Linked DNA regions of Xenopus tropicalis. The protein of the gene in region 1 purifies or fractionates together with the protein of each later gene. This does not show direct contact. Links are inferred from orthologs where the notes say so. Each region holds a gene or a part of one and is shown on either strand. Other genes may lie near its edges. The genes, in order: fhl2 and eya3.

Region 1 (3,221 bases):
ATAGGGTTGGTGCATCCAGCACATTTCTTGGCATACAGGTTGCAGAAGCAATTCAGACAGTAGGCAAATTCATCACGAGAGGTGAAGCGTTGACCAGATAGCGGTTTCTTGCATCCTGTACAAATAAAGCATTCCTTATGCCAAGGCTGATCTCGGTATGTAACACCTCCAGTAGTGATGGCCTATATGACAATAGAATTAAAAGAATCAGTCTCAAGTCTTTTCAGCAAAATCAATTCATCATCAAGAAAAGTACTAAATATCCAAAATGGTAGAAAGGAAATAATGGAGTTTAAAGCTGGTCATTAAGTCAGATCTGGATGGCCAATTGACTTGTTTTTTGTAGTGTACATCATGCACACTGCTTGAAATTCAAATACTGAAACTATAAAACTGTAAACTCTGCAATATAGGCCTTGTGCTGGCCATCAGTGTCTGCACTAAGTTAAATAATATTTATTGATATTAATACTTAATAATAATAATAATAATAATAATAATATTTTATCATTATTATATCTTGTTTGCGTATAAGTAAATTTTTCACTCGTTAGCTTTGTCATTCTTGGAAAAGCACTTATTTCAGTAGAAAGACAATGGGGGCGTTGAAGTTTGTATTTGCTGTACTTACAATCAGGCTTTATTTCACAGGCTTTAAACACTATTGTGTTTTCTTGTGTATTATACATATACATTTTTTGGTTCTATAATAATTATGACATTTCCAGTACCTTCTTGCACTGGACGCAGTGCATTGCAAATTGTTTTTCATAGCATGCCACACAGAAATTCTGATTATCCTTTGGAATGAAGCTTTTTGTCCCTATGGGTTGTTGGCAACGGGAGCAAATAAAGCAGGTCTCATGCCAGCTGTTACCTTTATACTCCATCTTGCGAGTTCCTGTAACAGAGGTTGCACAGTTAGAGTCCAGGGAAACTCTTTCCGTAATTTGGATCTCCTACCTTAAGTCTGCTAATAAAATAATTTAAACAGTAATTAAACCCAATAGCATTATTTTGGCTCCAATGGGGATTAATTATAACTTAGTTGCAATCAAGTACAAGGTTCTGTTTTATTATTACAGAGAAAAAGGAAATCATTTTTAAAAATGTGAATTATTTGATTAAAATGGAGTCTATGGGAGACGGCCCTTCTGTAATTCAGAACTTTCTGGATAATGGGTTTCCGGATAAGGGGTCCGATACCTGTACTATATAAATACTGCTCCAAAATCATTACAAAGTAATTTGTTTTTCATTCACTTTTTGTAATGAAAAAAAAAGAACAAGATGTGGTTAAAAAATACAAGATTTTGCACATTTACAAATGATCCATTCAATGTTATATAAAGAGCAGGCAATTACACCCACAATAAGAACAATTGCTAACATTACTTTTGTCTGCCTTGTAATGGAAGTTGAAGTATCAAAGCTGAGACTCCATGGTTGCCCTCCAAATTTTTTAAAGTAAATTTGAAAAAATAGTGGGCCATGGCTTAACTTACTAGTTATTATTGCCCAGCACATGTCTGAACTATTCTTATATAGCTACAAGTTTAATCCATTGCTACAGCCCCACACTACCACCAGCAGGGTAGCAATCAGGGGGGACAGGGGGACTGTTCTTCTGGGGCCAATGACAGCGCAGAGCAGGGGCATGAACTTAGGGCAAACTTCACCCCCAATAAACCTACTGTTAATTAGTATATTAATTAATGGAACTCTATATGAACTGCTTATTACAGAGTAACATCAGCTGTTTATATTACACACACAAGATTTTGGTCCCGCACACTTGTGTTCATGGGGGGCCCATATAAATAACTTGTATAGGGCCCAAAACTTTCTGATGGCAGCCCTGACCACCACTGATGCTCTTCTCTTTTGAAACATAAATAAAAATCTGTAATAGAATACCTGGGCAAATTAGTCAAGGCAAATGGGCAGAAATACAAATAAAGGGTCAAAGGAAAACCAATAAAGAGAGAAATTAAAATCCTCTTCTCTAAGGTAATAGTTCCCCTGTTGCACTGAATGCTGTAGGTAGGGGGATCAACCTGAAGATCTGGGTAGCTTGATTTGGTATCCTTAATCCATTTACTGTGTGGTGGACACTTTTTTGCTGCCTCTAGATACTCTTGTAACTACTACTGATCTGCTGATACAATGCTGTATAAAATATCTGTGACGTTGTTATATTCAAAGGGAAGGACCACAAGAAATGTGGGACACCACAAGATCATTACTGATCCTGGGAACATTCCACTTGCACCCCAGCACTCCAGTCTGGCATTGTCTTTAATGCAAAATGTGTACATTGTACTGAATTACATGATATATGGTATGTTGTATTAGCAGAAGCCTATGAGTATAAATAGCTTCAGGAAATGCAGTTTTACCTCTAAATTGCCTGAAAAGTAGACAGAATGATACTAAGTTGTAAATAGCATGGCGTGTGATCATAATTATTCTCCTAAATTAGAACAAATGAGGAACAGAATTTTACAGGAAGATCCCCATCACAGCGCTGTGACACCAGCTGGCTGCTACTGCAGGCTTCCCATTGAATTTTAATTATAAAAAGGGATATTTATAATAGGTGCTTAAGGACTGCAGACTAAAACCTATGTCTGAACTGATTTTTGAGGCACATGCTATGTAATTGGCTTCCTTGTTATAAATCAGTTCCCCAGGATTTTTCCTACTCAAATAAAAAAGTAAATAAAATCCAATCCACTACATATACAGTAACCCAGCAGGTCTGTACCAGACATACTACAGCCTAGGCATTGGTGGTCAAGTTAAATTAGAAACATGTGAAACTGCACATTTTGCACATTCCATGTGCAAAGTCTTTCCCTCTTTTTCCACCCAGAGGAATAGCAGATTCTAACCTGGCAGAAATAGAAATGGAGTGTACAGGATGTAACGGTAAAGACCTTAGGAACTAATGGGTTACCCTCCCAAATGCTCCATCTGGATGAAAAATATATTTATCCCTTTCCCGTCGTAATCATTTAATTGCATCTCCCTTTCTGTTCATGCAGTGCCTCTGCTCAGTGTACAGAGCAGCCATTTCTAGAAATTGAAAACAGCTACTATATTTCCTTCATAATTGGAGGCTGCTGGTGAAATATGTCATTTTAAAGCATTATATTATAATATATACAATATACTTATTGTAAATCATTTACAATAAATAATATAATATCTTATTTGAT
Region 2 (3,525 bases), about 32 Mb from region 1:
CTCCTGTTACAAAGTTTCTGCAGCTGCACAAACCCCCCCAAGCTCTACAAACCCCCGCTCCTGCCACAAACAATCACCGCTCACAGCACCAGCTCGCCCTCCCCCTCCTGCTTGTCAGAGAACTCAGCGATGCTGGGTCGCCATGGCAACCAGACGCTTCTGCCCTCTGCGCATGCGCCGCCTGCAGTAACGAATCTCTAAGTCTTGGGGGAGCGATGTATTATGGGAAATCTTCTCTACCCAGCTCAGCATTTTTTTTCTTTGTTTGGCTTCTGATCTTCTGAACGGCTGAAATATGGGGAGACTTAGGGGCACTATTGAGAGAACTGAAGGTATGCCTGCAGCTTGGGATTAACTCTTTATTAGCCTTTCCTTCTCCTTTAACCTTAGGGGCAAGTAATATTCTGTGAAGTGAGTCCAAGGCTTGTACCGAATGTGGGAGCACAAATACTTTTGGTTGTTCCTTTTATTTAATTTTGTGTCAAAACATAAATAACAGTTGTCAGTAAATCCTTTGAAACATTGCTATTGTATGATTCGCTTGTAGTTGTATTAGATCTGCACTGTAAATCACTTCCCATGTACTGGCCACTTACAAAACATATCACATTTCAAGACCAGATTTAAATAAAAATGTCACATTGAAAAGTTAATTGAACCACTGGGCAGATTGTGACTATAAAAATACCTTGGCAGGCGCTACATGCAGCCCTCAAACCTTCACTCTGAACGGCACAGTCTGATATATGGCTGATAAGCAAGAACCTGCAACATAATACATATCATCACTTACTTCCTCAAACAACAATTCCTCACCCAAAGATCACAGTGCTTTAAACAGGAGAAACTTTCATGGACAACATTATACTTACTTGCTTTCTATAATTGACCAGTAACACTAATATTTTATATGCATTTAAATGTAATGCATTGTGTATTTGATTCACAAACTGTACTAGTTACATAAATTAGCTGTTATGCAGCTATGGTGGCAGCCATTCAACTTAAAGGGCAAAAGGCAAAACTTGCCTATTTTAACCCTAGTATTCTTTAATCCAGCTTACAGACCCATTGCCTGTGTCATTGTACTTATATTTATCATTAGTAAAACTAGGCATTTTTTCTTACTTCCTTCTTAGGAAAAGAAAGCTGCTTTGAAAGAATAGTGACAAGGTTTGGGAAGAAAGTCACTTATGTGGTAATTGGAGATGGGAGAGATGAAGAGATGGCTGCAAAACAGGTATATTGGAAATGTATTATTTGTATATATTTGTCCATATTGATGTGCACTGATATAACAGAGAGACAACCCCTTTACAAGCTATGTAATTATGGTGATATGAAATTAATAAGTCATAAATCTGAAACTTGAGAACTCCCCCATGTGTTTGACAAAGTTTGTTAAAAGTATATTCCAAACTTCAACCAGTAGGCTGATACTTTCTGGTCCCCATGTTTGTGCCACCAGTTTAGGGAAACTGTGGATTTTGGAAAATGGCAGCCAGAGGAGCTGCTTTAAGATGACATAGATAATCACTATTATTGGGCCTGTTGGGGGGCTGTTTGGGCCAGTCTGGACCTCCTCTAGCCCTTTCCTGTTGTCCATATTACAAGGTATAAGAGCGCATACACCCAGTCTAAAAAATATAGTGTGCATTTTGGGTAGTTACCCAGGTGTCAAATGATTTTCCTTTTTCTGATCCATTTAGCACAATATGCCCTTCTGGAGAATAACAAACCACAATGACCTCATCTCACTACACCAAGCTCTGGAATTGGACTTCTTGTGAGGATCTCTGTAAGAAAGTGGACTTCAAGCCTTTTAGAAACCCAAAGACCTGCATTCAGGCCCAAGAGTAACAAACTGGCCATAAGCTTTAGGCTTAAGATGAAAATGTAACTGATCTGAAAGACTTAGTTCGGCTTCAGATCCAGAGGTCTGGCCACAACAGAAGATTGAGACATTTTCTACAGTTTCATTCAAGATGCCACCATTCATCAGTTTCAAGATCCTAACCTCCTGCTATACATCCTCCTTCCCCTTTAAAGCCCACTTTTAGATAGCCAACTTTTTCTCCTTCTCCTACTAGAATTTCTGCTGAAAGCCATCAGTAGTCAATTCTGTTTTAATGCAGGTAGGGAGATTTATATGCCTGTTAGTTTTTCACAGTATCTGTTCTTTAAAATCCGTAAATAATTGTAGCAGTGGGTTCTGATTTTCCTATAAACCCGTACCACCTTTTCACATGAAGTAAACAAATCTAAGATAGATTGTCTGCATCAGACTAGATACTACTACTGCTTTACAGCTCTCTACCATGGAGTCTGCACCCATCAGGTTACAAATACACTTCTGGGATTTTTAATAGTAACTGAAGAAATTGCATATGATTTCTTTCTTTTTTTTCTGGACTGCCATTCTGGAAAAGTTTCTGAAATACCTCGATTGGGGAGAGAACACCCCTAACCATGATATCACCTTGGATGACAGTAACTTATTAAAATGTGGATTTTTTTTTTCTTCTTCTTTCATTTCTTGGTTTTCTGTACTTCTTTCATTATTCAAAAAAAGCAAGATTTTTCATTTCTCATTTCAAGTTAGGGTTTAGTGTTTACATTTATTTTAATGTTTTTCTCATTTTTGTGTGTCTTAACTGGGAATAAAATTTCAGTATTTGATGAGGTTGGAAAAAGCAGTCCTACATACATGCAAACCATACAGTTACTGATTACTGAATAATGTTCTTACCTACATTAATGGCCATATGACTGGACTGAACAAAGAGTGCCCAACATGCAAAAGTCTCATCAAGCCACCATCACATACCAGTGGTACTGGTACATTGACCAGAAGTTATACCACTTAACATTTAAAATTTTAAAAGAGAAAAATAGTTATATCCAAATCACAAAACTACATTAGATTGCTAAATCTGTACTGTTCACCTAAATCTGTACTGTTCACACCTCAGGCTCAGACTTTAAGTGCCCACATTGTTCACACCTTAGACTGTAGAAGCAGTGCCAGCATTGTCACTGTATGTACTGCCTGCCCTATGCTGCCTGTGTGTATGGCAGCATAGGAAATGCCCTTCATCTGGTGCACTTTCTGGATTACCATACCTGTTTTTCATTATCACTTTCTGTTTGCAAAGGAACGAAAGGAAACATTACATAAGTATTTTATCACTGAAGAAGCAGACTTTGGAAGTTGGGGTCAGTCACCAGCACTGGTTTCCTTTTTCTTTCAGCAAAAAGAGTCACAAATGATTTATTTTCTATTTATTCATAAAGTGGCTGAGTTTGTCCCAGCGCTGTACAAAACCTGAGCAATAATTAGCAAAAAATGCAACTAAAGGAAAAACAAGACAAAGTTGGAATCAAGCAATCTCTTTTATTACAAATAAATATGCATAGAAAAGTCACTTTATGACAAACTGTAGTATCCATAAAAATAGATTTTTTTTTCTATTGCGAAAATAATTAGGTAAAATGTATCTGTTCTGAGGTAATTTTTAGTAATTA

What was found.
Region 2: the proteins of fhl2 (region 1) and eya3 purify together in Homo sapiens (affinity purification with mass spectrometry; 3 studies listed by BioGRID and IntAct, with this or other methods). This does not show direct contact. The link is inferred for Xenopus tropicalis from reciprocal best matches to the Homo sapiens genes FHL2 and EYA3.

The regions. Positions count from the first base shown.
Region 1 is NC_030678.2:111,696,217-111,699,437, forward strand, and holds part of fhl2 (four and a half LIM domains protein 2), read right to left. Parts: intron 902-3,221; coding exon 732-901; intron 183-731; coding exon 1-182. UniProt on the Homo sapiens protein: May function as a molecular transmitter linking various signaling pathways to transcriptional regulation. Negatively regulates the transcriptional repressor E4F1 and may function in cell growth.
Region 2 is NC_030678.2:79,400,974-79,404,498, forward strand, and holds the end of eya3 (eyes absent homolog 3), read left to right. Parts: intron 1-1,139; coding exon 1,140-1,240; intron 1,241-1,709; coding exon 1,710-1,790; 3' UTR 1,791-2,689; downstream 2,690-3,525. UniProt on the Homo sapiens protein: Tyrosine phosphatase that specifically dephosphorylates 'Tyr-142' of histone H2AX (H2AXY142ph). 'Tyr-142' phosphorylation of histone H2AX plays a central role in DNA repair and acts as a mark that distinguishes between apoptotic and repair responses to genotoxic stress.